4 linked regions of the Lonchura striata genome follow. The protein of the gene in region 3 purifies or fractionates together with the protein of the main gene of each other region. This does not show direct contact. Links are inferred from orthologs where the notes say so. Each region holds a gene or a part of one and is shown on either strand. Other genes may lie near its edges. The genes, in order: BCL7A, SMARCD2, ARID1B and SS18.

Region 1 (7,630 bases), on a different chromosome or scaffold from region 3:
CACTGTTCCAGAGTGGAGACACAGCTGTGCCCAAGGTGCCACTAACAGCTGTAGGGTCACCGAGTGCCTGTCACAAGAGAGGAAATCCAAACTGACTGTGTGTGTGTGTAACCCCCATCTTTACTTGTTATTGTCATGTCAGCAGGTGTGTGACTGTTGGCCATTCCCATCCTCAGCTGCTGAATGAAGCTTCCTCCTGGGATGTGGTCATGGCACCAACACATGCACAGTTCAGGGACATTGGCATTCATGGGATTGGAAACTGGCCCAATGTTCTTAAAAATAAAACATGTAACATCTGCCTTGTCTTGATCTTTAGATTGAAGACATGATAAACGAAGTAAAATTCAGCAAGTATGCAGATACTGGAGAAGAAGTGACAAAAATCAATTTAGATGATTTTATCAAACTTTATATAAATCATCGACCTGCACTTGGCTTGTCAATGAAAACCATACAACGAGCATTTCAGGTTCTTGGCTATGATAACAAGAAGGGAGACAAAGTTATCGACAGAGGAGACTTCCTATCACTGCTTCAGTGCAGAGGTGAGCTATTTTGTTTCTAATATCAGTTTTATGCTTGCTAGTTCTGCCTGCAATTTCAGAACTTTTTCCCTGCAGCAAGAAATTATCCTGGAATGAGAACCTGGTAACCAGGGCAGGCGTGAGGAGCCACCTGCCTTCAGATTTTAAATTGAATAATCACTTGTCTTGTCCCAGCTGTGCTTCTTTTACTGCTCTGGAAATCTCTGCTGGCCTGAGGTATCTCAGCTGTTAAATGATAAGTATGGATCTTGGCAAAATGTATCCTTCTCCCAGTGTGCCCTTATCTGAATTGCTGTTTTCTCTTCTAGTCACACAGGTTCTGGAAAAGTAGTATAAAATGGATAAAAGGGACACAAGAAAGGAGGGATGAAATTGGTCCTAGGCTGCACCCAGTGTGAAAGACTGAAAAGATGGGATGATTCAGTTGAGCTGAATCAGGGAGAACACCATAAACGTGGGTGTTAATTTGTTTGTGGCCAGTGCCATAGAGTGCTAATAACAAACTTCTATTGTCTTACTTCTGGTGTAAAAGTGTAGCCGAGCATTAAAACAGGTAAAGGGAAATGCTGATTTACTCAGTACATCACTTGGCAAGACTCCTTGCCACAAAGATCCTTGGAAACCACGGATTCAACCAGTGTGAGAAAGGTTAGCTATTTATACAGATGGTGTGAACATCCATAAATAGGTACATCAGATAGAACAGTTTCATAACAGATCTATAACCTCATGCTCCAGGGCGTGAGCCAACCACTAACTGGGAACAAGTGCTGTGTCCATGTTATTTCAAGATACTAAATTAAGACTTTTCTCCACCTTTCTCTTCCTCTGCATGAAAATGGCTACATGGACTGTGGTCTCTGCCAGGAATTCTCCAGTGGGAAGAGAAGCTCAAGCCCCTGCTACTACAGTGTTGCTTAAAGAGCAGTCTGCATCATAATTTCTTCTTTTGATTGACATTTTCCCCCAAAATGCTATAGAGAAGACAATTTTCCTTAGGATCAACATTTTCCTGCATTGGAATCATGTGTTTCAGTTGGCACTGTATATGTCTCTATCTCAGAGAAGCCAGGTCCTCTTTTGAACTGTCCTGTTTAGTTTAATTGCAGTTGCTTTTGAGTTTTTGTGCTATTGACCCCATAACCCAACGGTGGTGGTGCTCCATTTTGTACAGGGGAGCAGATGACAGAGGACGAGCTGGCTGAGTGTCTGACCACCCTGCTGGGCAGGAGACCCAGGAAAGAAAGATCTGAACTGGACACCTGCGATCCCACAGGTACAGGATTAGCATTCCACACAGCAGAGAAGCAGGACTGTTTAATTCCCAAATGGAATAATTTAAATTTCAAACCCATTTACCCTGTTAGGCCAAGAGCTGTCAAAGCTGCTCAGATGGGATTGCAAAAATAGTCACAGAGCTACAGACTGTCCTTCATCCACGCAGCAATTGCACGGGTGTATCTAAAAATAAATGGACAATGAACTATAACTAGGGCCTGACAAGATTACATTGCTGTTTATCTGCTGGCTGGAACTGAAATTAGAAACACACAGGGAAATCCCAGGGCTGGTTTCACCCAGGCCGCAGTGCCCATTGTAACAGAGCTGTTGGTAACGAGAGCATTTGTCTGCAATTTATGTCCCAGTCCACACCAGTCTGGAACAGCAAATTATAGCATTGATTTGAGCCAAGAGGCTGAATTTAATTGCCCATTGTAATTGGAACTGCATTTTTGTACAATTCATGTCCCAGTCCCCACCAGTTTGGAACAGAATCTGTTTAGGGTCACTGGCAATGGGCGCCATGCAGCAAAGGTGCTGCTCCTGAAGGGAACTTTGAAACTCTGAAATCCCTGGATCCCTCAGGATCCTAAATCACATTAAATTGACCAAGTGTTAAAGTTGTCCCATGACTCGTCTGAGGCAGGGACCTGCTGCAAGGTGAGACACACAGATTTGACAGGCTTAATTCCTGATATAAACACATAAAGTATCAAGCTAGTAAACTGTCACTTTGTCATGATCTCTTTGTACATCTTTAAAAACATTTCATTCACTTATTGCTGCTTATAAATTTTACTGGAGAGCAATTTTGACATGGCTTTTGTGTGTCTTCTGATGCTGTTATTGCTCTCCAGGTGCAGCAGCTTTGATTGAAGAAGAAATTCCAGCAGAAATCACAGCAGAGATATTTGTTGCAGACATTCTTGGCTTACCTATTGCTGAACCAGAAAAAAAGAACACAAGGAAAAAGAAGAATCTTTGATCTACAAAGGCACAGAATCTAGCGACCACTAGATTTTCTGTTTATTCCTACTTTCCAGGATCCTCTCCTCAAATATCTGCAAAATTTATGGCTTGTGTTTATTGCAAAGTAAAGGTCACATAGTTAAATTTCAGTCAAACTCTAGAGTAAGTCCCCAGTTTGGGCCATGCCACAAACCTGTAATTTCACACCTATATAGGGAAACATTGAATGGCTGGAAAGAATGAAGCAGGTGGCCACTCCATCCTTGGCTGGAACATTCCCAGAAGTCATTTCAGGTGGGTTTATGCCAGATGCAGTCTATTTTCATTACGTTAAGACAGTATTCATTTGTGAAACCTGACAGCAAAAGAGCAACGTAAGAGTATTGTATTGATTAAATACATTGATAAATGCTTTGACAGGTTAGAATGGATTTGTAATTATAAATCCAATGGACCTTGGTAAAGAAATAAATGCTGTGGTACACATTAAAACCACGCTTCTCTTTTGGCCTTTAAACTGACTTTTTCTTTCTGAAAGTAGAGATTCCAATTAGCAGTGTAATACCAATGGGACGGCATTACTCTGTGTGTGTATAAACAGCATAATGAGACTGATACAAGTTGCTGTAGAAAGATCAGTGAAGTGCTGTTGAACAGCTTCCTTCTTTACATCATCCTTGGCATCAATTTGAATAATAATGTAGGCCCTTAAGAAGCGTTCCTTTCAGAAGCAATGTTTTTTAAACAGAGATCGCTGTTGTGTACTCAGAGCATCTGTGATTGTACAATTAGCAACAACAGCAAGGTGTGCATTAGGGAGAAGTTAATGAAGGAGTCCAGCAGTACCACACCAGAGCTCGCAGGTCTGTGACAAATTTCCTGCAGAGCATCACCTCCCATGTAACTCATTTAGCCTTTATGCTCATGTAATTCCATGGATTTCTGTCGGAGCTGAGCCTCCACTGCTCAAAAGCAGCCCAATTCAATGGATATTGCTGGAATTAGTTAAAGCAGCTGAGAAACTTTATAACCACTGGGGAAACAAACCTAAAATCTGCTGATTATGGATTTATGCTTCGTGTAAAACAGGGGACTTCATCACACATACCCATGTTCAAGGTCTGTCATGGCAACTGGTGCAAGGATAGGATGGATGTTTGTCACTGCCCTGTACAAAAATAGGTATTATCTCTATGTAAAGTGTTTTGAGGTTTGTAAAAACCCTGGATTTTAGGACTGGATTTTTCTTTGTGGTAAAATGTAACTGAGCTCTTGATGCTGCTAGACTGCGTTGGATTATCACAGAATCACGAGAACCAATTTGGTTGGAAAAGATCTGTGGGATCCAACCCTTGACGGGTCACCACCTTGTCAACTAAACCATAGCACCAAGTGCCACATCCAGTCTTTCTCTAAAGGATTACACCGCCTCCCTGGGCAGCTCCTGCTGACCCTTTAGGGTGGAGGCGAGCTGAAATCGGCAAAACTTTTTAGTTCTGGGGTAACTTACGGCCTGAGCTGGGTGGGAGTGGGGAAAGAACGTTGTCTTGTGTTCTCTCCAGCGAACGCTCGAGGCAAACCAGCGACGGGAACTCCGGAAGCGCGCGGGGCGGGCGGCCGCCTCCCGGTTCTCCCCCGCGGGGGCTCCTTCCCGCCCGGTGGCTCCTCCGCAGGGCCGCGCGGGGCTCGGAGCCCGCTCCGCTCCCTCACGGCCCCGCCGCTCTTCCCGCCGCCCGCCGTCCCCTCACGGCGCCCGCCCCGCCCCTCCCCGCCGGCCGCGCGCGTGCGCGGAGCGCGGGCCCCGCCGGGCGGGCGGGCGGAGCCGAGCGGAGCCGCCGAGCGCAGCCGTGCCGAGCCCCGCGCAGCCCCGGCATTGTGCGGGCGGGCGCCCCGACACACGGACCGAGCCGCCGGCCGCGCCGAGCGCCGCGTTCCCCGCCGAGCCCGCCGCCCCCCAGCAGCATGTCGGGCCGGTCGGTGCGGGCCGAGACCCGGAGCCGGGCGAAGGATGATATCAAGCGGGTGATGGCGGCCATCGAGAAAGTGCGCAAATGGTGAGCGGGCCGCGCCGCGCCGGGACCCCGCGCCCGCGTCCCCCGCGCCCCGCGCCGGCCCCGCGCGGCTCCGGGGCTCGCCGGCGGCCGCGGGGGGCGGGGAGCCGGCGGCACCCAGCAGCCATTTCGCTCCGGCGAGTCACATGAAGGCGGCGGCGGCGTGTGAGGGCGAGAGGCGGCTCCATTGTGCGGCCGAGCCCCCTCCCCGCCGCCCCCGCCGCTCCCCGCGGACCCCGGCCCGCCGCCCCTCGCCGCGGGGCCCGGGCCGGGCGCCTCGGGCATGGGCGGGCGGCGGGGTCGGGCCGGGCGCCTCCCGCCGCCGGCCCCTACAAAGGGCCCGAGGAGCGGGCCCGGGGTGGCTCCGCCGCCCGCTCTTCTGGGTGGAAATTGTGCTCGGAGAAGTGTTCTGGAAAAAAAGAAAACACGTTAAGAATACCCCTCTGAAGCTCCCGAGAGTTTATTTTTTGTCGTTGCCTGTTTGTGGATTGATTTCACCTCCCGAGTTCCCGGGGTTTGTGCGTAAAAGCGCAGCAAACCCGAGCGCGATCGTCTCCCACTGACTCTACGGGAGAGAGCGCGAACTGCCCCTGGAACCTCTCTTAAATCATCAAATTATAGGTTATACCCCGTGTGAAGTAAGTCCCTTTTGTTAGGCCTTCAGCGCGTTTTGGCATTTCCCCGCTTTTGTCTTTTTTCCCCCTGCTTTTGTTAGAAAAACCCACACGAGGTGTTTAAACAATACAGTGCAGCGGTCGCGCCGTGCTCTGCATGGTCGGTCCGGGGATTTGGGATGGCATAAAGAGCAGTGCCGCTGTGACTCAAGAGTGAATCTTTCTTCCAGCAAGTTGCCTGACTGTTCAGCAGTCTCTGTGCATGTATCTTAAAATACTTCCTTTAAACGTTTGGAATCCACGAGGAAATTTCCTTGCATTATTGTTACTGTGCATCATTCAGCTGGTTTGCAGGTTTGAAATCAAGGGGACACTTCTATTGTCCTCCTCACCTAACGCTTTGTTTTCGTTAAAAAAAGAGCCAAAGATAGAGTTGAACGTGTTCGTATTAGAGTGAAATGGTTTGTTAAGTTTTAAATGGCTTTGAGCACACGAATGGGCCCGTTGGCGTGAGCCGGACAAAGAATCGGGACCGGGACGTGTGTCCAGGAGCACCGGGCACGGGACGGGGATTTCAGAGAATCCAGCCTTTGTGTAGGGAGCCGGAGCAGCTCGGGTGGTTTCAGGAACTCTCTTCTACTCGGGTTTGTTTTTAAGTGCAGTTTGCTGACTGCTGGGCCGGCTTTGGAAGGTCAGAACAATGTGCAGCGGTGTGACAGGACTTTTGTTCCAGCTGGAGCGTGGTTGGATGTGTGGGACTGTTCTGTCTGTAGGTATTTCATTCATGAGCTCTGCACGCTCCCTTTGAATCCTGGTTTGTGGAATTCAGAGAGGAGTAGAGACAGAAGCTTGGCCATTCAACAAAATACCTAATTTATTTATTTTTTTCTTGGCAAGGACTCTCTGCCATCATGCCAGTTGCTATGGCTCTTTCTGTAAAACAGAAATCTTGTGGTATAAATAGATTTCTCTACATTTTAACCTTCACGATAGACAATTGCTGTAGAGGGTTCCTGTAAGTCATTCAGTGTTTCTGTTGATTATTGTCAGAAGTATCAATATGACTTTTTGTGCGTGCACCTCACAAGTATTTACATAAAGCAAATTTCTTATTTTTAAAGGAATCATAATTTGCAGTTGAATCTCATGGTTACCCCCCCTCCACCTGCAGTCAAATACAGCGGGAAATTAGCTAGAGAGATTCTGTGTTTTGTGGTTTCAGTGTTTTGAGAAGACTTGGCTTGTTAAATTGAACTTTCCACACTAGCAATTCCTGCATCTTCAGAAGAGCCACATCGGCAATTTCCAAGTGTGCAGTTTCATTTGCATAATAGGAGCAATTTGTTGCCATCCACAGCTCTTCTGTGGAAATGCAGCCACTGAAAATTAAAATACCTTGCGTCCAGCATTTCCTAGAAGAGAGTTTTGTGAGACTTGTGTGCTCAGAGCAGTGCGTGCCAGGGATGGGCAGGGAGACAGACGGGGCTGGGAACTCATCCGAGTGGAGGATGGCTTTATCCAAGGCATCATCCACCTGTGCTTGGTGCTCCCGAATCCCTGTGCTGCCACAGGGATGTGAACGTGCCTGCTGGAGGGCAGCTTCCATCAGGGCAGACTTTGTTCCTCAGAAAATCAGTGTTCCTGGACAGCCAGCACTTGGATGCAGCTCCTCTGTCTTCCTGTCTGCTCACAGAGCACGTGGCACTTCTGGTTATTGCTGGAACTTAGTAGTAAACAGTGAAGTTGTTATGTTTTTATCGTGAGATTACTGTAACCTTATCTCCTTTGTTTAAACCACGCTCATGAATGAGCATCTGTTTTGGAAAACACGCAGCACGTGGCTTACAGAATACATGGTTGCCTTGTGTTTGTGTGGCAGAAATGTTAAATTTCCACAGTAAGTGAACAATTCTACCTTTCTTTACCAGTACTTAAAATTCTTCTGTCAGTCTATTTTAAAAAATCCTCTGAGATTACTTTGTCTCAATTAATGGTACAGGATTGTTTTTTTGGCTTTAAAAGTTGATGGGTACATGTAGATTCCAAGTGGGCTCTCAAGAAGAGAGGGACAAAAACTATTGTGCCCTCAACCAGTACTAGAAAAATACTGAAGACACTCTTGTTTTTTGTCAAAGTCTGATTTATTAAATGGGGGGAAATACAGACA
Region 2 (7,968 bases), on a different chromosome or scaffold from region 3:
AAGGGCACAGCACAGGCACAGCCCCCAGCAGACCCAGCACACATCCTGGAATGTCTCCAGCAGCAGCAGAGCTGTCTGGGCTGGACAAACCTGCCCGTCCACAGCCCTGCAGCTGGAGCCCTGAATGTTCCAGGGCAGGGAAAGGAGAGGTCACAGGGACTCAGATCCCACAGGGGCAGGAACAAGGAACAAAGGGAATTTCTGTTCAATCCCAGGCTCCTCCTGGGGAGATGGGCTTGGCACAAACCCTGCCCGTGGTGTTCCTGCAGGGCCAAACTTTCTGGAGGGTTCCCGGGAAGGCGCTGTGGAAGCAGAGGGAGCAGCAGGGCTGGAGGTGTTGCTGTTCCCCCTTCCCTGTCACGTTTCCCAGGAGCAGCAGAGCGTGCTTGGGCTCTGCTCTGCCCTCCTCCCCTGCTCCAAAGGACAGTGTCCATCTGCTTTGGATCAGGCTGGAAGCAGCTCCAGGCTCGGGCTCTGATGAAACCTGACTTGGAAAGCCTCTCCCTGGGGAAGGGTGGGGTTATCCAGCACAAGCAGCCTTATGGAACAGCTCTAGGCCTGGCTGCTGGCCCCTGGCCCCCTCCAAGCCAGTCCCCACCACTGCATGAGCAGGAACACTGTTCTCCCTGCTCCCCAAGGGGTGGATTTCTCCCACACTGCACCCTCTCCAGGCCACTTTCACGTGGCACAACATTCCACACTTCTTCAGCTGCTCCAAGGATTTCTCCATGAAGCCCAACTTCCCTTCCCACTGCCATCTGCCCAGGGACAGGATCACAGAGCTGCTTCCAGGCTTGGGAGTTCTCAGCCTGCAGCAGCCTCCTGGCCAGGGAATCCAGGCTCTGTCTTCCCAACACGTGCCAATAAAATCCATTTAATGGGGACCTAATTCTGCACCAGGGAAGCATCAGCAGGGCCAGAGCGCTGAATTCCAAGGTCTCATCCCACACTGATTCACGCTGCTCCAGGCCACGGTGTTAATCCCAAAACATGGGAAAAACTCTCCTACACCTGAAGCCAGCACCTGAAAAAGCAGGAAGGCTCCTTCCCACTGAACTTCCATGAAACCTGGCTGCTGGGGCTCAGCCTGGGCATCCTGGGGAGAGGGATCAGGGTGGGGGATCTGCCCACACCCCCTACCACGCCTGATGCTCCTGCTCCTGGAAAAGGCCTCTCCTTCCTGCTCCAGGCATGGCACTGGCCCCTGGCTGCTCCAGAAACATCAGCTCCCACCAAAGGAGCCCCCTGGACTCCCTGCCTGGGCTGCCAGGAAATCCCCAGCAGGCACACAAGGATGTCCAAAGGACGAACATATGTTTAATAATCCCGAGATTAGAGCTCCTAAGCCCTCACTGGCCTGGCCTCGGCCTTTTCTGTCTCCTGGTGCCCAAACAACACAGCTCTTCCTAAAACTGGGACAGAACCAAGCCCTGGGGGGATGGCAGAGATGGGAGGGGTTGTTTTCCTCAGCCTGGGAATTGCAAAACAAAGGGCAGACCCGCCTGGATCCTCTCCCGGGCTCAGGGAGAGGCCACTCAACACCAGCCCCGGGGCGGATCCCGCTGTGTGTGTGGGGACATCACCGCGGGGCCAGCACAGCACCGCGGGGCCATCGCCCCCTGCCCCCGACACCTGCTGCCAGCCCAGCCTGGGGAAGCAGCATCTGCCAGCCTGTTTACCCGGCTGCTCCAGCTGGCTCCAGCCTCCCAGCTGGATTTTGCACCCTGCACACGGAAGGTCAGGCAGTGCTCCCGCCTCGAGTTACCAGCGGCTCACACCCGGCCAGCTCAGCTTCCAACACCATTTTCTGGCGTTTTGAAGGCTGCAGGAGGAAGTTGTTTCCTTCTCCTGTGTTAAGGAGCCGGAATTTCCCTGCGCTTGGTTTATTTCCTGAGTTTTAAATCATGCAAATCAGGCACAGCTCTGGAGGAGGCAGCGGCGGCCCAGGAGAATGTGTTGCACAACTGGGCGCCTCCATTTCCAGCCTGCCTCGAAAACTGAGCTTTATATCTGAAAACTCATTCCCGAAATAATCAGCACAAACTTGGGAGTGAACTGAGAAGCCAAGTGTGCAAGGGGGAGCAGGAAAGTGTGTCAGGATATACTTCTAACTGCTGGAATAATAGAGAAATATGCAGTGGTTTGGGTGGGAAGGGACCTTAAATCCACCCCTGCCATGGCAGGGACACCTCCCACTGTCCCAGGCTGCTCCAGCCCTGTCCAGCCTGGCCTTGGGCACTGCCAGGGATCCAGGGGCACCACAGCTGCTCTGGACACCCTGTGCCAGGGCCTGCCCACCCTGCCAGGGAACAATTCCCAATTCCCAATCTCCCATCCATCCCTGCCCAATGGCAGTGGGAGCCATTCCCTGGGTCCTGTCCCTCCAGGCGCTTGTAAACACAGTTCTTACTTCCTGAATTTACTCGTAAAAGATGCCAGGCTGAAAAACGAGTGATTTAATTTCTTTTGGAGGGCTGCTGGTTGTTTGGGTTTACTTTCCCCAACGCTACCGAGCGCCCGCTCTCCTCCCCCACCACTAAGCAAGCCCCGGTCCTTCCGGAGGACACTCCGAGGATACTCCGAGGATACTCCGAGGTTACATCCGCGCACCACGCGCTGCCTCTGCCAGGGCACGAACGCGCTCCCGGCGGCTCCGCGCGGGGCCGGGCCGGGACGGCTGCGGAGGGACCGGCCCGGGCCCCGGCAGCGACCCCGGCCCGGCCCGGCCCGGAGCTCGGAGGGGCCGGGGCCGGGCCCGGCCCAACTTCCCGCGGGCTGGGAGGGCGCAAAGTGTGAGCCGGGACGAGGGAGGAGCCCCGGCTAACGGCGGCGCAGAGCGGCCGCCCCGGGGCTGCCGGGCCCGCTCCGGGCGATGCCGGCCGGGCCCGCCGCCTGCCCCGGGAAGGCCCCGCCGGCCCGCCCGGGCCCCGCCGCCCTCCCGCCGCCCCGGGCTCTCACCTGGTACTGCGCGGCGGCCGGGCCCATGGCGCGGTAGCCCGGGGCGGCGGCGGGCGCGGGGCTGGGGCCGCGCAGCAGGGCGGTGCCGGGCCCCGGGGCCGGCGGGGCGGCGGACGGCGGCAGCGGGCTCAGCGGGAAGGCGCCGCGCCCGGCCATGGCGGGGCCGCAGCGGACGGGACGGGGCGGGGAGGCCCCGGCGGCGGCTCCGAGCGGCGGCGCCGGACCGGGAACAGGACCAGGACCGGGACCGGGACCGGGAACGGCTCCGCGCCCGCCGCCTCAGGCCCCGCCCCCCGGACAGCCCCGGCCCCGCCCCGGTCCCGCCCCCGTGCCGCGCGCGCACCCGGGAGCTCCGCCCACTCCGGCACAGGCTCCACCCCCAGCCCCGGGCGGGACGTGCGTGAGTGACGTAAGCGTGCGTGAGTGACGTCAGCGTGCGTGCGTGCGTAACGCACGCGCGTGGGCACCTGTGTGTGCGTGTGCGTGTGCGTGTGTGTGTGTGTGTGAGAGAGAGAGAGAACAGCGTGTGTGTGTGTGAGTGTGAGTGTGAGTGAGAACAGCGTGTGTGTGTGTGTGTGTGTGTTCGTGTGTGTGTGTGAGTGTGAGAGAGAACAGCGTGTATGTATGTGTGTGTTCATGTGTGTGTGTGTGTGTGTGAGAGAACAGCGTGTGTGTGTGTGCGTGTGCGTGTTCGTGTGTGTGTGTGCGTGTGAGAGAACAGTGTGTGTATGCGCGTGTGTGCGTGTGTGTGTGAGAGAGCAGCGTGTGTGTGTTCGTGTATGTGTGTGTGTGAGAGAGAACAGCGTGTGTGTGTGCGCGTGCGTGTGTGTGTGTGTGTGAGAACAGCGTGTCTGTGTGTGCACCTGTGTGTGTGTGTGTGTGCGTGTGTGTGTGTGAGAACAGCGTGTCTGTGTGTGCACCTGTGTGTGTGTGTGTGTGCGTGTGTGCGTGTGAGAACAGCGTGTCTGTGTGTGCACCTGTGTGTGTGTGTATGTGAGAACAGCTCTGTGTGCACCTCTGTGTGTGTGTGTGTGTGTGTGTGAACAGCTGTGTGTGTGTGTGTGTGTGTGTGTGTGTGCACCTGTGTGTGTGTGAACAGCTGTGTATGTGTGTGTGAACAGCTCTGTGTGTGTGTGTGTGCACCTGTGTGTGTGTGAACAGCTGTATATGTGTGTGTGTGAACAGCTGTGTGTGTGTGTGTGAACAGCTGTGTGTGTGTGTAAACAGCTCTGTGTTTGTGTGTGAACAGCTGTATGTGTGTGTGTGTGTGCACCTGTGTTTGAACAGCTGTTTGTGTGAACAGCTGTGTGTGTGTGAACATGTGTGTGTGTGAAAAGCTGTGTGTGTGTGTGTGCACCTCTGTGTGTGTGTGCACCTGTGTGTATGTGACTGTGCACCTGTGTGTGTGTGTGTGTGCACGTGAGTGTGTGTGCAGGCGTGAACATCTGTGTGTGTGTGTAGGTGTGTGTGAGCACCTGTGTATGAACACACGTGTGTCTGTAGCATGAACCCAAGAAGGTGTGCAGGTTCATCACGAGTGGGGGTGTGTGTGTGCATTGATACAGGCGTTTGTGAGTGACACAGGTGTGTGAGTGATACAGGTGTGTGTGTGACACAGGTGTGTGTGTGTGACACAGGTGTTTCTGTGTGACACAGGTGTGTGTGTGACAGGTGTGTGTGTGTGACAGGTGTGTGTGTGTGACACAGGTGTGTGTGTGACACAGGTGTGTGTGTGACACAGATATGTGTGTGACACAGGTGTGTGTGTGTGACACAGGTGTTTCTGTGTGACACAGGTGTAGGTATGGCGCAGGTGTGTGTGTGACACAGGTGTTTCTGTGTGACACAGGTGTAGGTATGGCGCAGGTGTGTGTGTGACACAGGTGTGTGTGTGACAGGTGTAGGTCTGACACAGGTGTCGGTATGACATGGGTGTGTGTGTGACACAGGTGTGTGAGTGACAGGTGTGTGTGTGACACAGATGTGTGTGTGACACAGGTGTGTGTGTGTGACACAGGTGTGCGGGGGTGTTTGTTTGCACACCTAACGTGGGGGCTCTATGTTGGTGCCTCGCGTGTTTGCACACGCGTGTGTGCCGGTGCAAGATGTGGGCACGGGGGTCCCGCGGGACGGGCGGCGCTCGGCTCTGGGCGAAGGAGCCGGGGGTCCCGCACACCTGGGGCGGCTGCGGGCAGCGCGGCACCTGCGGGAAGCTCGGCGGTCCGGGGATCTCGGGGCTCGGGGGCGTCCCTGGGCTCTCAGCAGCCCCGGGGACTGTGGGGCTCACAACGCAGAGATCTCGGGGCTCTCGGCGATTTGGGGCTCTCAGTGATTTGGGGCTCTCAGTGATTCGGGGCTCAGTGATCTCAGGGATCTCAGTGATCTCGGGGCTCTCAGTGATTTGGGGCTCTCAGTGATTCGGGGCTCACGGCGATCTCGGGGCTCACAGTCGCACACTGAGTTTGGAATGTCTCGGGGTCGTGGGGATCTCGGGGGTTGTGGTGGTCCCGGGAGTCAGGAGGCCGTGGGTGTCTCAGTGTTCCCGGTGTTCCCGGTGTTCCTGATGTTCTCAGCGATCCTGGTGATCCCAGTGGTCCCAGTATTCTCCGTGTTCCTGGTGTTTCACTGTTCCCGGTGTTCTCAGCAGTCCCGGTGTTCTTGGTGTTCCCGGTGTTCTCAATGTTCTCAGTGTTCCCGGTATTCCTGGTGTTCCCAGTGTTCTCAATGTTCTCGGTGTTCCCGGTATTCCCGGTGGTCTTGGTGTTCCAGTGTTCCTGGTGTTCCCGGTATTCCCGGTGTTCCCGGTGTTCCCGGTGTTCCCGGTATTCCCAGTATTCCCCATATTCCCCATATTACCAGTATTCCCGGTATTCCAGGTGTTCCCAGTGTTCCCGGTATTCCCGCTGTTCCCGGTATTCCCCATATTCCCGGTGTTCCCGATATTCCCCATATTCCCCATATTCCCGGTGTTCCCGTTGTTCCCGGTGTTCCCGGTATTCCCGGTGTTCCCGGGGGTCGCGGCTGTTCCGCGGCGTGGCCGCCAGGGGGCGCTGGAGGGTCGCGCTCCGCTGTCGGAACAAAATCCCCGAAATGCCCAAAATTCCCCAAATTCCCGTAAATCCGGGCAGGGATCCTCTGAACGGCGCTTCAGGGCTGTGTTTCCAAACCCTCCTGCTCTATAGCCACACCTGGACGCTCCCACAGCGCGCTTGAAGCACCACCAAAACCCTTGGGAAGGGCTGACACCTCAATAAAGGGAACCAAACCCTGTCCGGGGGCGATCTGAGCCGCTGATAACCCTCAGGGAAATCCCGGGAAAGGCTGGAATTTCTGGGCGCTGCCACAGGGCACTCAGAGATGCTCAGAGCCCGCCCCGTGCCCAGGAATTCCTCACGTGCTGGGTCTATCCCAGGCTGGCATCACACCCTCACTGCAGGTGTAGTTGCAAGTGTTCCCATGGTTTTGGGGAGGTTTCCAGGATTTTGAGGCAGTCTGTGTCCTGCCTAGTCCCTGTTTGTCCAGGGACAAGGATGGGCAGGAGGAGTGACAGTGACGTTCCCCTGCAGTGGCTTCACCACAAGACCCCAGGCACAGGGCACAGGTGACAGCTGAGCCTCCTCACCCCGTGGGTGTCACTGAAGGCCCTCCCCCGAGCAGAATTCCTGAGTATTAAAGGTTGGAAAAGGCTCCTTTCCCCCTTACAGGGCTCAAGCTCTCAGTGGGATTTGTCCCAGTCTCGTTCCTGGTGGCTCTGTGGGACAGCAGTGGGGACAAGTGTTCATTCCCTGGGGGACACCCAGGGCTCTGCTCTTCAGTCACTGAGATGATTTTCCATCTTCCTTCAGAGAGGACTGTGCTGGGCACTCTTTCCCATAGGAAAACAATTTTCCAGGATCTGGAGCTCCTTTTCCCACTCATAGGTAAGAAAAAATCTGAACTGGAGAAGCCTCTCCTCATGGATTTTTTGCTTTTACTGAAATGGAGGCAATGTTTCCAATTCAAAATAAACTGGAAAACAGGTGGGCAAGGACAAGGCTTGAGCTGAGCCTGATTTCTGTCTCCAGGCAGGTCCCAGCCATCCCTCTGGGATGCAGAAGGGATGGGATTGCAGGGAAATCAGGCAGGGATTGTGAGGATTAGGGCTTTATTGCTTTTCCAGCTCTGTTGTTATTCCTGTTGTCTTACCTGAGCCCATGGAAAGTCGCAAGGCCTGGGGACACCTCAGGACATCAGGTCCTCCTCCCATCCCTGCCTGGCTGAATGACCTTCAGGAAGTTGCTCTTTCCCCCTTTTTCCCTCTCTCCTCAGTGTTCCTCACCCTGCTGGAGTGGGAACTGCTCCATCCCAAAGTGCTGCTGCCAGCAGGAGCTTCCCCTGCCCGGGGCAAATGCTCTCAAGGAACCACAGCTCCATTTTCCCAGCAGGAAAACACCTCTGGAAGTATTCCCAGTCCTCAGCAGGGTGTTTTTGATGTGCTGCCTGCAGCACCTCCCTGCTCCACTCCACCTCCAGGGCTCATCAGACGTTTTAGTAAAGCCTCCTTCCCCTTTTCCCTCCCTGCAGCCCCTGGAGCTCCCAGGAACACCAGGCTCCATCCTCTCCCTTCTTCAGGTGCTGGTTTCAGTCCCCTCCTCCTGAGACATTTTCCAAGACTTGGAGACCCCAGCAATGAATGGCTTTGCTGGAATTCCTCTGGAATTGAGGAACTTTCCCAGCAGCCAGCAGGTGCCAGCTCAGGATAAACCCAGAGGATGCTGACTAAAGGATCTGCACTGTGGTGGTTAAAGGTGATTACTCTTCCTTCTCCTCCATCATTTGGCTGAAACCCAATTAACCAGACCCTGTTAATCAGCCTAGGTGAGGCTCAGTGCTTGCCTGGGAAGGTGCTTGCTCCTGGCTGTCTGCAGGGAGCAGGGAATCTTCACCTCTGGATGGAAAACCAGGAACATCCTGTGCATATTTTTCATTTAAATCTGTGCCCATGGCCACTCCATACCTTGGGGTGGAAGG
Region 3 (7,781 bases):
GGAGGCAGCTGTCGGGAGACGGTTGCAGCCAGTTTACCTCCACAATTCAAATTCCCAACCTGGCGGGCGGAGGAGACCCGGACGCTCCTCCAAGGGTCGCGCCCGGCAGCCGGCATTCCTGCCGCGCCGCGCCGCGCCGCGCCGCCCCGGAAAGGCGCTACGCCGCGCCCGCCGCCCCGCGATCATCGCGCCTGCCTATCGATCGGATCCATCCATCCATCGATCGCCGGAGTTACCGGGGCTGGGGGAGAGGAGTGCGGGAGGGAGCGGGGGCGGCGGCCTGCGCCGGTGCCCGCGCCCCATCGCTTACGCCAAGGACTTTTCCCTCTTTTTTTTTTTTTTTTCCCCTTTCTCCTTTTTTCTTTTTTTTTTTTTTTTTTTTTTTTAATTTCCGCGTGTGTTTGCGGAGAAGTGAAAGGCAATTACGCGTCCGCGCACCGGGCACGCTCCTGCCGGCGGGCGAGTCCCCTGCAGGTCACCGGGCCGGGACGACCCGCGCGGACCGGGCGCACACGCGCGCACACACGCGCGCGCGCGCTCTTCCCACAGGGAAAGGAGCGCGGCCGCGTTACGTGGATCTCACTGCGGTAACTCCAATCAGTGACAAACTAATTTGCTGAGAGCGCGCAACGGCGCAACTCGTTCTGCTCGGAGATCGAAAAAAAAAAAAAAAAAAAAAAAAAAAAAAAAAAAAAGGCAACGGGTTAAAGAGAGAAGGAAAAAAAGGCCCCGTGAAAGATAATGGACGTTATCCCCCGGGAGCCCCCCGGTCCGGCACTCCGGTTACAAAATCCAATCCCCCGCCCCCGTCCGTCCCGAGCTGTTTGTCCTCCGGGCCCTGCGTCTCTCCGACACTGTTTCAAAGTGGTGGGAGAAAATATTAATTGGGTCTGAGAACAACCTAATTTCGGCAGCGAAAGCCACACTCCGGTGCCTCCAGCCCCAACGCATTGTGCACAGCTCACCCTCGCTACGGAGGCAGCGAGGGGCAAAAGTGGCCCAGAAGAGAACGGGGGGGGGGGGGGGGGGAGGGGGGAAGGGGGGGGTAAAGAGAAAAAAAAATAAAATACAAAAAAAAGGGGGTGGGGGAGAGAAAGAAAGTGAATTATAAAGAAACTAAGACCCCGACACGAGCGACACAGACACGAACCGTCATTAACCGAGCGCGGGGAGTTACCTGGGTCCTGCTGATGGCCTGCCCGGTGTTCCCGGGGCTCATCGCCGGGTGGTTCCTTTGTTGAGCCGCTGCCCAGGCCGGGTTCGCCGCTCCGTACTGGGCGCCCATGTCCTTGCCCATGCCCATGCCCGCCGCTGCCTGCTGGCTTCCCGGGGCGGCCGCCGCTGCCTGGGGCTGGGGTTGCGGCGGGGCGCTGGGGCTGCTGTAGTCGGGGTAGCTGCTGCCGTAGCTCCGCATCATGGGGCTGGGGGACGTGAGCAGCTGGTTCAGGGTAGGGGTGGCCCCGGACGGGTGCTGGTTCTGCCCGGAGAACCGCGCAAAGCCGCCGGCCGCCGCCGCCGCGCCGGCACCAGCCTTGCCGAGGCCGGCTCCGCCGCCGGGGCCCATCATCATGCCGCCGCCGGGCTGCCTCGGGGAGCTCAGCACCCCGTATCCCGCCGCGGAGCCCCCGTAGCCGCCGCCGCCTGCCCCAGCGGCCGCCGCCGCCGCCGCCACGGCTCCCGCGCCGCCGCCGCCGCCCGCGCCGCCGCCGCCGGGGCCGCGGCCGTAGCCCGGGTAGTGGTTGTACTGGCTGTTGGGGTACCCTTCGTGGGAGTTCTGCAGGGGGTCCATGCTGTTGGGGGCCGCCGTGGGGTGCATTATCCCCATCCCAGGGCTTTGTTGTCCGCCATGTTGATCAAAGCAAGGCCCGGCGCGGCTCGCCGTAGCGCTGCTGGCAGGGGCAGGGGCAGGGTTGCCATAATAGCTATTGAACTCCGAGACACCCACCGCGGAGGGGCCGCCGCCGCCTCCCCCGCTCCCGCCGCCGCCGCCGAGGCCGCCGCCGCCGCTCCCAGCGCTCGGGGGCGGCTGCTGGGGCTGCTGCTGTCCGCCCAGGGGTCCCAAGCCGGGGTGGTCGTAGCGGCCGCCGATGGGCTCGCCCATCTTGCCGGGCATCTCCTCCTCGTCGGCGCCTTTATTCAGCATTTGCTGCGGCTGCTGGGTGGGCTCGGCCTGAGCGCCCAAAACACTGTCTTTTCCTCCATGTTGCTGCTGCTCCATGTCTGCACTGGGCTGAGCAGCGCCGCCACCGCCACCGCCGTTGTTGTTGCTGCCGCTGCCGCCGCCGCCGCCGCCGAGGCTGCTGTTGTTATTCTGCACGGGATGGTGCTGAGGCGGCGGCTGCTGCGGCGGCGGCGGCGGGAATTGATTTAGCTGCTGCTGTAGTGCATGGTGGTGGTGGTGCGGGTGGTGGGCATGGTGGTGGTGGGCATGGTGATGCGGGTGGTGGGCATGGTGGTGGTGGGGCGGCGCGGCGGGGTGATCGCCTCCGACGCTCTTCAGCTTGTGGTTGGGGAGCAGCCCCGTCTCCATAGCCGAGCCCGGGTTGGAGGAGGAGGAGGAGGAGGAGGAAGAAGACGAAGAAGATAACTCCGAGGAGCTTCCACCTTCCTTCAGAGCCGGCTCCGAGGAGGAGCCGCCACCGCCGCCGCTGGCGTTGTTGTTGTTACCGGCGGCAGCGGCGGGAGCCGCGTTATTGGCCATGTTCGGCGGCTCGCCGCGGTGGTGGTGGTGGAGATGGTGATCTAAATTATTCACGCTGTTGCTGCCGGCCGGACTCCCCTCGCCGACCCCCAGTGCGGGGCCCGGCCCGGGAGCCCCGGCCCCCCCCGGGCCTCGCTCTGGGCCCAGGCCGCTCGGCAGGCTCGGGGCTTTGCCCTTGCTGTTGTTCGCACTCGCCGGAGCCGCTGCGACTTGCGCGGCCATGATCATCGCAACATTGCGAGTCCGGAGAAATTGGTGCAGATAATAGTAACTACAGAAAAATTTAAAAAACCCCAAAACTGAAAAACTAAACAAACAAAAAAAAAATCTACTCCCACCCTGAAAAATGGGGGGTGAGCAGAGGGGTGGGGGGAAGGAGAGGAGAGGGGCAGAAGGGGAAGCGGCCGGGGCAGGGACTTGACTGAGCCCAGAGTATCCCCTGCGGACCGCTCCGCACGCACCGAGTTACAGCGATTTCCCTCCCCGAGTCCGTGGTTGAGGTTAGAAATGGTAAGAACGCCTTACGGTCCGTGCCCGTTCCCGCTGTGTGATTTCACGTTGAAAGTTTTTTGTTCAGGTTTAAATGAAACTTTTTTTTTTCTCCTCCTTTCCTCCCTAACCCGGATATGGGTAAACACACGTCTGCCGGAGCCGCGCTGGCCCAGCATGGCATGAGCGAGCGAGCGAGCCAGCGCCGGCAGCCATCGCCCCCTCCGCCCCGATCGCTCCCGCGCACCCGCAAAACGCGGACTGGACTCCACGCTGGACTCGATCGGGCGCCCGCTCCCCTCCCTGCTCTCCCGGCAGCGCGGCGGGATGGGGGGCGCGGCCCTCGCGGGTCCCCCCGCTCCCAGCGGGGTCCCGCCCGTGTGCGCGCCGGGGGTCGCGGCCTGCGCGGAGCACCGAACCCGCGGGAGCTGCTCCGAGCGAGGGGTCGAGGCGGGCCCCGACGGGCGCCGCTGGGCGGGGCGGGGAGCGGGACTGTCCCCGGTGCTGCGGGGCCGAGGGTGCCGCCGGCGGCGCTGCCCCGCGCGGGCCGGTTCGGCGGGAGGGAGGCGAGGAGCCGCCATGCGCTCCAGCTGTGCCGGAGAAGATGGATCGGTCAAACTTTGGGGGGCCGCACGCTGCCCCCCAGCCCCGTGTTCCGTGCTCAGCAGCCGCCTCCTGTTCCGAGGGCAGGGACACGTTTGTCCGTGTGACGGAGAAATTAGACTTGTTTTGGATTCCCCCCCCACAAGCCACCCGCCCCTTGAAGATTTATATTTGTATGTATAGACGGTTATAACATTTAACCTACAATTCTGCAGTGGTAGCATCTTTGCAGTTGTCCACATTGTCCAGCTGTCTCCAAATTCTAACGGTCATTTGCACTGATGATGCTTTTATATATAGGGCCGTTTTCAATATGTTCTGTGTACTTATTTGCAGTTCAACAAGAGATGATCAAAGAGCCAGAGACATTTTCAGTCTCATAATTGATTCCCCAAACAATATAATTTCCAGTATGCACAAGACACTCATGTAAACGTAGTAACACAAAACCCAAAATATATAATCTGAGTAACTTGCTCCAAATGGAAAGCTGCTGCTGACCTACATTTTTGAACTAGAATGGTTTGAAGGTTTTTTTATAACTATCTTAATACAAGGGATACCTTAGTATAACAAAAGGTAATAGTCACACATTACGTTGAACTAATGAAAGCATTTGGGAGATTAAATACTTGGCTATGAATACAGCAAACTGGGATATTAGCGAACGTTTTCAAAACAGCAAGGGTCTAAACCACGATGTTTTAAATTAATATATTTATACGGTCTGTTAAAGTTAAGCACGTTTTCAAATTTCAAAATGGATAAATAGGAGATACAATCATAATGGTAGAGAAAAAAGCATATCAAGAAAGATGCTGTCATGAGTAGGTAGGCTTTTTTGAATTCACTGTGAAAATATTAAAGGAGCAGAAGCTTCATGCTCTAATGTTGAGTTACATGTAAAGATTATTGATAAATGTATGAGCAGTGTGATTCCAGCGTCTATTAATTTTAGTTCTGTCTGAAAAGTCAAAAATATTATGATTTGCATTAGGGAGTTAGTTTTGAAAAGTCTCAGTGCTCGAGAAGTACATCTTGCTAATACTTCTGTTTTACAGTTGTGGGGTTTGGTTTTTTTTTGTTGGTTGGTGGTTTTGTGGTTTTTTGGATTTTTTTGTATCCTTTGCAAGTGCAAAAATGTTGTATGGCTACACATATATAAACACAGAGTGGGAAAAAAAAAAATGGTGAGTAATTCTAGCGGGGGGAATCAGGTGCATACCCAAGGGTCATTACAGTCTGTAACAACAACAAATTGCAATTCTATGCAAACTGCTAGAAAGGGATATATCATCTTTGTAGGAGAGAGAATAACAGAACCGTAAGATGAATTCATGCCAAATCATTCATCTGCTTTTGCCAAGAGAATACTACATCTTTGTTAGTGAGCCTTTTTGACATTATCTCCTGGATTTTCTTCTTTTCTATATTCAAATGCACGCTAATTATACACATTAAACCACCTAAGTTGATTTTAAAAGTCTTTCATATGCAAATAAAAATATAGACTTCTCCTTGTGTGTATTTCTTTACATGTGTACTCTAACATAAAATATAAAATCAATTAAACACTTATACTTTGAGACATTTCTATTTGAGCAAAAATACGTGTATCGATGATCTGCTAAGATGTGCTGATAGTGCCCGGGCTGCAGATCGCAGTACTTCCTGACACACTCCGCAACTCTTTCCAATCGGGAAAATAACCCGCAAAAGTTTAACACAGATTTACTTTGAAATGTTTTCTCTGGGAAAAGGACAAAAAAAGCACGAGGCTTTAAACTGAAGAGTTCGTACCACTAACTCCTTTTCCTCCCATTTGTTTCAGCAACTCGGCTACAAGATTGGAACTAAGAGGCTATAAAATTGAGGCCCTCAGCACAATGAAATCAGTCTGCTATAAAAGGCAACACATGCCAGTTTTTCCTCCCCAATGGCAGATGCCACACCCTAAAGCAGACAGAAGGCACTGCAGTCTGTGCAAGGGAAGCACAACACAAAGCAACAACGATGGTTCAATTTTCTAGAGCGCAAATAATGTTGAAATTCCTTTTGCCATCTTTGCTCAGATGATGAGTGGTAGTGTTTGTTAAATTCAAATGCTTCTTTCCAAAAGCTCTCATTGTATGCATGAATTATGAATTTATTATAATATAATGTAAAAAAGCTTTAATTACCGTGCATATTATCTGCTGCAAAGTGATTGCATTGATATTTGATATCGCAAGTGCGCAGTTTCAACTTTAGTTTTATTTTCATTGTTCCTTCCATTTGATTATTTTCTATAAACCAGTGTTGTCCAAGTGTAATTTATTTCTCTTTATTTTTCTTGATAAATTATAAACTGTGGTGCTCTAGGATCCCTCATCAAAATAAACAACATAATTTTCTAAACTTGCTGTTGGTAATTTGTTTACACCATTGGCTACAGCATTTATACAGACACCCTAGGCCACCTGTCTGTATCTCAAGCCCATGAAAGTTACTGCTTTTCCCCTCAGTACAGCAGCCATCCTTCTGTTTGGCCTTCCAAGTCATACAAAGAGTAACACTGAAGAGAGAGACGGAAAACAAACCAATATTGTAATATCTCTGAGATGTTATGTTAGAGGTATTGGGAAAAATATGTTAAATTTTTTTGGTAAAAATCCAATCTGAGTTTCAAGACCCTGTTGGATTTGACATTGGTGTGCACAGGAATCTGAAAAATCTCTGTGTACAAAAGAAGGAGCTTTTCATTGGGATCTTGTTGTGCTTTATGGTTAAATACACTGCACAATTTAATGAAACTGTTGTCAAATTCACTGTAATTCTCAATTTCCTTCTTTTACATTTGCATTTGATTTAATGAGAAAAAAAGAGAGAAGTATGGGGACTTTTATTAAATTATCACTTCTATTACTAGTTAAACATCCAATCAAAATCATTCTGAAGTCAGTGCAAATCTTTTAATTTATTTCAATAAGGCATAAATCAGATCACAGAAAAGTAGGCAGCCAGCTCAGGGTTGTTTTAGCCTGGCATTTAGAACTATAGTAATGGAATTTTGCTTTAAAAGATCCCTTATGTGGTCAACATATAAATATAACACAGGGTTGTTTTCTTTATTATGTAATATTTACATTTCAGTCACAAATGTAAAAAATAAACTAGTGCCATAGATGTCCAGCTGATAAGCCAGATTCTGTTAGGTGTAAAGCCTGTAAGGTAAGTGTAAAAATTTTATTTTAGCTGGACAAAGTGAACTTTGAAAAAAATGTGGTTTATGCCAACAGATCATGGCCTAAAACACGCAGAGAGTGACACATTGTACCAATTAATTAAAATCCAATCTTTAGCAGCTACTAATCCTGGGCAATTTAATCCATTTCTTCTGGCAATGTGTGAACAAAAGGACTTTACAACATCACCATCACCATCTCGAAAATGTCATACATTATTTTATTATGAAGATGCAACCCGCTAGAGTTAGATCACTTGAATAGACTGCTTAAATGCCTCAATTTTACAAATGCGAATCATCCATTGAAGTCAGTAAGATCACTTGCTTCCTTAAACTTAAGCCCTGTGCTTCTGTGCTTAAGTCCTGTGCTTCTGTGGACTGAGGCCTCTGTGAAAAAACAGCTCTTGTGTCTCTGTTTTGGTGAGATAGGGGTCCAACCAATTGTCTAAGCCAAAACAAAATCTTGCATTTGGCAGTAATAGAAGGATTGTTGATTTCAGGGTTCACCTACCAGTGAAATCTAAGCCTTTAAACTGAGTTACTCTAATATTTCTGGATCCTGTGCCAATGTTTGAGAACATCATTGCATTTTGGAGAAATTTAGGAAAAGGCTGGCCTTCCTTTGAATTAATAATTTATGATCACATTTTTTATAAATTAGAAAAGTTAAACAAGAATCAGTATAACAGTAATCATAGAGTTCTCTGCCAAGTTTCTTTCCCATTCTCCTGCCTTTTACAAATCTTTTCTGATGTGCAAGAG
Region 4 (6,899 bases), on a different chromosome or scaffold from region 3:
AAACCAAAAATTGCATTTTTTCCCTTTTGCCATCTTCCTTTTTCATCTACTGAAAGACCCTTCTACTTTAGGATCTGCTCTGTTACCTGATGGTATTGTTGATGTTACAAAAAACCTAGATAAACACCTCCTTTATTTTTTAAATTTCAAGATGAAAAAGTAGTCTACTCTGAAAAAGAGGCTTAAATTCACCGCTATCCTATCTGTTAGCAGTAGATCCTGAGCGATCATCCATCCTTACTATAGCAAAGAAAATGAGTGTGTTGCTGTCAGTTGGAGTGAGTACAGAAAATTAGGTGCTCTCACCAAAAAAGATTTGTCTAAGAAACACCTGGCTCATAGGAAGAATTCTTAACTTTCATATCAAGACCTGCAGTCATTAAAGTCTTTAAGCAAGTGGTGCTACCATAAAATTCTTTGCTGTCCCTTTCTTACATATATAGCTTCATAAATACTACATTTAAATTTTTTAAATTTAAAATGTACATTTGAGAATGTTAATGAATCAGCATTCTCTATTTTCCTTCTTGTGGATGGAAATGTCCATGACTCTGAGGAAATTCAGATAACACAAGTGGCAGACAACAAGTTGTTACTAAGAAATATGAGTTGGAAACATAGGAAAAAAGTCTTCCGGAAAAGGACTGATCCTCCTCTGTCTGAATTTTTCTCTCTCCAAAAAATATGACTTACTCAAATGCACACCAACAAAAAAGAAAGACTACACTGATAAAAGTCGGAATAGAGGTGGAAATAAGATCTCATTGAAACATGTTTGCATTTGAAACTCTTGATGATGACTGAGATTTATTCATCTAAATTACAATTAAATAATGTTAAGGTTGTGAGTAACTCACAAGAGCAAAGAAATGTGCAATTAAAGGGAAAATATACCATATGTCCTTTGATATCTAGACATATTGCAGTGCATTAAGGAAGTCATAAAAGAGACACCCTGTTGTGGTTATGTGTTCTGAGACATGTGGCACATTTCCATTGTAGCTATCTATTTCCCTGCTTGTATGCATCTGTGCCATTATTTAAATGTTGATTTTGAATGTGAATTTCTCTTTGCATGGTAATAAAACCCAGAGCTTCAGACTTGCTTTTTTCAATGTTTGTTTAGATTTGCTGCTATTTATGAATGTGGAAGTCCAAAATGTTAAACACATGAATGAAAAAATATCACAACTGGCAAAAAAAAAAAAAAAAAGAATTTAATTTAATCCTCAGACAAAATGAGTTAAAGGAGATAGTTTTAACAACAATGAATTAATAATCTTATATCTTTCCTCTAGAAACTGACAAAGTTGTATTTCAAACACTGCTCTCCTGTATTTTGCATGGAACAAGGAATATACTAAAAAAAAAAAATCACATAGTTAGTTTGGACTATCTGGGGAAATAAAATGAGAAATTACTGCTTTAGTTTTAAGGTTCCTCACCTGTGGCCTCCCACAAGATTATTTTTTTTTTCCCTCAACTCAGAGCCAACCTGAAAATGTGGAAGAATAAAATGTAACATTTAGATCCTAGAAGCAGTGTTTATGTGGCTGGCATCTAACCCATCATCTCAAACATTGTGATCATCAAGGCATCACAGTGCAAAATACTTTATACACAGGGGTCGGGTAACCAGAGTAGGACATCCAGATGTCACACCTGTGAAAAAGGGAAAACATTTTGTGGCAATACCAGTGTTCAGTATATTTCATAGGAATGTGTTTCCTATGCCTGCAGCCTTGGGACACTTTCTGACACCTCACCAGTTCTTCAGGGACAAGTATATGTTAAAAAAAACCAATCCTCATAATTCTATTACTAACTGGGTAGGAGATGGTTGGTTCTGATTTGGCCATGGCCAAATCAGAAAACCCTACAAATGAAGAATGAAGAATTCTTCATTTGTAGAGTTCTTTGCTGCTGTTTGTAGTAACTAAAAAAGTACCAATTTGAACACAGGTACTACAACAGTTACTCTCTGAGTTCACTCCAAGACCATGTAATAATAACCATAGATCACCATGAAGCGTATCAACTTTAGAAAAATATGGTTTCTTCAAATCTTCCTCTTTTATTTTTGGTTTCCTGCAAGTATTGTAGTAGTGATGATGATGATGGCGGTGATGATAAAGTGTGTAACAGACAGAAAAAATGGACTAAAATAGTCCAGAAAATGGACCACAGTGGTGAGTGAAATGGTTACAAACACAAAGTAAAGGACATGCTGGCATTGATCCATCTTAGCATAACCTACAGAGCAAGCACTGAGCCACAGATATTTCCTAGAGAAAAGCAAACCAGATTAGCATCCCATCAACTCTGGGTCCTGTATAATCTGAAGAGGCGGGGCAGTAGCGTCATTCTGGTAACACAGAGCATCAGGTCCAGGGGGCAAGCCCTTGGGGAGTGGGATACTGTAGGAATGCAATAGTTTGGAGCCAGCAAGCCTGGGGGAGAAAGCAGGGGGTGATGGGCAGTCGCAGCATATCCTGAGACAGCAGAGCCAGCATGAGTAATCGTCATGGGGCTGGGGACAGGAGCCAGCATAAATCCAGTGTGAGGAGAGAGCATGCCAGTTGGGAAGCAGCTGCACAGCCATGGATGCCACTGACAAACGTGTGCTGTGACCAAAAGGCCTGGCTTTTTTAGCCAGGGCCTTCCGCCAGCAACTGCTGAGAACCAGAGCAAGCAAGCAAGGCTCAAGATTCACGTCTTGTGGCGTGGGCTGTGGTATCCTGTCACCGGGCAGGCAGTGTCCTGCCAGCCACAGAAGCACACACACCTCGGCCAGCTGCAAGAGCAGCCACCACTTGGCCAAAGGCCAACTCTGTATCCTAGCCTGTAGTGTGGCACTGGAATACACACAGGCTGGGCAAAGGATGTGCCCAGGAACAAGAAGGTTTAAAATACTTTGGTTGGGGACCTTCATGTCCCTGTACCAACTGCTGGTTGCAACTCTTCATTCTTCCAAAATCTGTCTTAGACTTTGCAGACTTGTCCACAAGGCTCTCTGGCAACACTAAGATTCCCTCCAGTGGCTGCACTGAAACAAATCAAGGCTGGTTTCAGGGCTTCCAGCGTTTGTAATTTTATGTTTAATGCTGCTTCTTCTTGCTCTGTTTCACTTTTAGGGCAGGAAACCTGCAGCCGCCCAACTCATCGAGGAAAGCCGTCCCAAGCCCCTGGGCGGCTTGTTCCAGTGCTCTGCTACCGTCCACGTAAAAAAGCCCTTCCTCATGTCGAAGTGGAAATTTCTTGTGTTCTAGTTTATGGCCATCGCTCCATGTCCTGTCGCTGGGCACCACTCTCTTGACACCCTCCTTTGAGACGTGTACATGGATTAATGAATCGTCTCTTCTCTAGACTAACCGGGTCAGCTCCCGCAGTCTCTCCTCATGAGATGCTCCAGACCCCACAACAGGTGCCCCCGCACTCCCAGCGCCCACCTCCCGCATCTCCCGTCCCGTCCCGTCCCGCTCCACCCCGCGCTGCGCCAGAGGGGGCTGCCCGGGTGCAACCAATGCGGCGCTGGGCAGAGGGGGGAGTAGAGACTGCCTCCCGGCACAGCCCTAGCGTGTCCCCTGCAACGTGCGCGCCACAACATCGCCACTCCCCCCAGCCGACCGTACCACTTCCCTGCTATGAGGCTCTTCGGGCAGGAACGTACCAATGCGGCAGAGGGAAAGGGGAAGCTAAGAAAGGCGCGTGACAAGGCTGTGCGTGGAGATCACTTTCGAAGCGGCTCAGGATCGGCTCTCGGTCCAGTTGTTCTGGCCGGGCCGTGCGGGGCAGCCACGGTGTCATTGAGGTGCCCCCTCGCCAAGGAGAAAAGCAGGGAGGAGCCGCCGGTCTTCCTTAACCCCTTCCCCCGGCGGGATGGGGATGGGCCGTCCCACCGGGCGCGCGCCCCCGCCCCACCGCGCGCCGCGTTCTTCCCGGATCGCCGCCGCTGCTGGGTCCGCGGGGCGCGCGCGCGAACGGGCGGGAGCGGCCGCGGAGGCTCCGGCGCCCACCAGACATGTCGGTGGCGTTCGCGGCCCCGAGGCAGCGGGGCAAGGGCGAGATCACGCCGGCCGCCATCCAGAAGGTGAGGACGGCGCGAAGAGCAGGGCCCGGCCCGGCCCGGGCGGCCCCGGGGGCTGCAGCTGCCGCTTCCTGCCGCGCGGGGAACGGGGGCGGCGGCGGCTCAGGCCCGCAGCGCCGAGGCCCCGGCGGGGAAGGGAGGCGGCCGGGCCGCACTCCCTGTGCCCGGGGCTCGGCCCCTGTCTCTGCACTTGGACACTTGTTGGAGGGTCCCGGGGCCGGCGAGAGGAGGCGGGCGGTGTCCTGGGTGTTTGCAGCCCTCGTTTTTCTTCCTTCGCTTGGGCTGCCCCGATCGCCCCGCTGGACTGAATTTACCCGAGAGGACTCGGCCTGGAAGCGGAGAGTCGAGTAAATCCTTCCTGCGGGAGGGCTCTGACAGTGGGACCGCGGCCGGTTTGTTCCAGACCCTCTGCCCGACTGGGCGCTGCGGAGTAGGAGGCGGCTTCAGTTCCCAAACTTGGTCGACCTGGTAGTTAAGGCTGCCTCCCAGTAAGCCTTAGGTGTGATTGAAGAAGAATATCGCGTTCGGAGCCAGTGACAGCCGCTCCGGACGACTCCACCTAAGCTTGTGTGGGAGGGAGCAAGTTAACTCTAAAGCCATCAAAGAAACGCGCATACAGGATTAATAATAATCCACAGCAGCAGCAAAGGAGCGTGTTCAAGTTCACTGGTAACTGTGTGGTATTTAGAAACTTAACTCAAGACTTGTACCGTCATTGGTGTGGGTGGCCGTGGATCAAACAGATTTCAGATTGGTACCATCCCCTTATGTAGAGGAGTCCTTTAAGTAGATAGATCTAACATCCGATTTAGTAAAGAATTAGAATCTCTACAAAGCAGGTGCTGCAGCGATATGGACCTCAGAGAAGACCTTGGAGCTGTAAGGGAAACATCCAGGGTACTGAGGGGGAAGTCAGTGCTTGGGAATTGTAGATAAAAAATACATATCCACTGGGTGGAAAGCTGCACAGAGGTAGTCAGTAGAGACTTCAGGATGCTGAGGTGCCATGGAGAATACAGATGATAAAGTTTTCCTGGGTCTGTAGTCAAACCATTAGTTCAGTGGTGGTGTGCTGGCAAAACCCCAGTGTTAAAGTTGAAGAATTTTTGTAGTACCTAAGTTGTCAGAAGCCCTGAAGGTATCTTCATCCAGCTGGAAACTAAATTCTCTTTTGATGGTAGATGTTTATAATTATTACAATTTTCTGTCAGCAAACACTAATTTAAACTTCTAAAAAGCAGTTGACTGTAGCCCTACCTAGGATACAGTTATAATCCTTTTTGTTCCCTTTCCTTTTAGCCCCTAGCATTCCTGCCCCCCTCCAGTCCTTTGCTTCTCAAGAGGTGTGTCTTACATGGCTGTAATGAAGAATGCAACCATCTAATGGGCAGTTTCAAGGTCTACTTGTCTGCTAAGCCTTAAGAATCTGCTGTTTCCCTCAGAACTGTGGGAGATATTTTGAGGAGGACCTTGATTCACAGCTTCCTTTGCAAGTCCTCTATTAGACTTTGGTATCAATCGTATTATCTAATTTTTTCCTTTTTTTCCTGAAATGATGAAAATGGCCACTGTGTTTCTTACAAAGCTTGAAGTTAGTACACGTGCTGTGTGCCAATGTTGCAGTGTGTGATCCTCTTCAGAGAGTGCAGTTGTAGCTTTGCCTGGTTTCTGAGGCTCACAAAGTAGCTGAAAATACTGCAGTTATGTCTGTGTTTAGGGCTTAATGAATATGTTTCCAGATCCAACAGTTTCAGGCAAAATACTTGTACTGGGATCATTCTAGTCCATTCTGGTGAATTACGGTTTAAAGTTCAAGAAAACTTGGCTGGTTCTTATGTGGATAGAAGTCCTGAGTGAACTGCATAAGGTGTTTGACTCCATACTCTTTTCATAGTAGACATGGATTAAGTGGGGAAAAAACTGACACTACTTTTTTTGTTGTTTTTTCCCTCTCTGTAGAATTTGTTAGGGGAATAAAGGTTGTGGTATGATGTTGTGCTTTCCTTGTGGAAGGATGAGTCTACTCATGGCTGTTTTCAACCATGTTTGGAAGAAGGAGAGAATGTGTAGGATGTTTTAAGGTTCTGCTTGTTTTGTGATATTCAGAAGCTGGGTAAAGGGATCTAAACTAGCTTTCCAGTCAGAGAAAGCAAAGGAGTAAATTGATGCAAAAATTTACATTTGGCATTAAATTTTCCATTTCTATAAGCTGACTTGGATAACTTGGCTGATGGCTCAGATTAGCCATGGTTCTGTTGAATCTTGCCTGATCAGAGTGCAGAGCATGAGCTGGAAAGATGAGTGTGGGTTACATTCACTCTAGGAGACTGGGTCGTTTTTTTCCCTGTTTAGAGAGCTTGGAACACTTTGTGAACTTTTTGTAGAAAGTTGTGAAATTGGCCATTTTCCATGATTTTTTTAGAACTACTCATTTTTGGTAAGAAAATTAATTAGTAAGTATTCATTTTCATGGACACTGCTGAAGTATGTTAGATTTATTGTGTCCATTGTCCTGGTTCTGGCCACCGCAGGATTAATTCTTGCAATAGCCAGGGAGGGTCTCATGGCGTGGATCTGGAGGTTATTCTGTAGCACCTCACTTAATTTTCTGGGGATGGGGGAAGGGGTCATGTGTTGTGGTGTCATCAGGTATTGTTGGGGGCTGTATGTGATGAGCACTTGAATGTGAATAATTTGCCCTCTTGTACTCTCCATTAGTAGTATTTTTGCTATTGTTATTGTTTGCTTCTTATTTCAGTGGTATTTCCAGTAAATTTTTGCTATCTCAACTGGTGATCTTAACCTTTTGTAC

The links.
Region 1: the proteins of ARID1B (region 3) and BCL7A purify together in Homo sapiens (affinity purification with mass spectrometry; 4 studies listed by BioGRID and IntAct, counting the BioPlex papers as one, with this or other methods). This does not show direct contact. The link is inferred for Lonchura striata from reciprocal best matches to the Homo sapiens genes ARID1B and BCL7A.
Region 2: the proteins of ARID1B (region 3) and SMARCD2 purify together in Homo sapiens (affinity purification with mass spectrometry; 5 studies listed by BioGRID and IntAct, with this or other methods). This does not show direct contact. The link is inferred for Lonchura striata from reciprocal best matches to the Homo sapiens genes ARID1B and SMARCD2.
Region 4: the proteins of ARID1B (region 3) and SS18 purify together in Homo sapiens (affinity purification with mass spectrometry; 4 studies listed by BioGRID and IntAct, counting the BioPlex papers as one, with this or other methods). This does not show direct contact. The link is inferred for Lonchura striata from reciprocal best matches to the Homo sapiens genes ARID1B and SS18.

Annotation. Positions count from the first base shown.
Region 1 is NC_134620.1:12,285,022-12,292,651, reverse strand, and holds the start of BCL7A (B-cell CLL/lymphoma 7 protein family member A), read left to right. Parts: upstream 1-4,624; 5' UTR 4,625-4,760; coding exon 4,761-4,852; intron 4,853-7,630.
Region 2 is NC_134627.1:1,869,169-1,877,136, reverse strand, and holds the start of SMARCD2 (SWI/SNF-related matrix-associated actin-dependent regulator of chromatin subfamily D member 2), read right to left. Parts: upstream 3,012-7,968; 5' UTR 2,986-3,011; coding exon 2,959-2,985; intron 1-2,958. UniProt on the Homo sapiens protein: Involved in transcriptional activation and repression of select genes by chromatin remodeling (alteration of DNA-nucleosome topology).
Region 3 is NC_134605.1:54,590,822-54,598,602, forward strand, and holds the start of ARID1B (AT-rich interactive domain-containing protein 1B), read right to left. Parts: upstream 3,003-7,781; 5' UTR 2,930-3,002; coding exon 1,178-2,929; intron 1-1,177. UniProt on the Homo sapiens protein: Involved in transcriptional activation and repression of select genes by chromatin remodeling (alteration of DNA-nucleosome topology).
Region 4 is NC_134603.1:46,049,088-46,055,986, forward strand, and holds the start of SS18 (protein SSXT), read left to right. Parts: upstream 1-3,894; 5' UTR 3,895-4,021; coding exon 4,022-4,090; intron 4,091-6,899. UniProt on the Homo sapiens protein: Appears to function synergistically with RBM14 as a transcriptional coactivator. Isoform 1 and isoform 2 function in nuclear receptor coactivation. Isoform 1 and isoform 2 function in general transcriptional coactivation.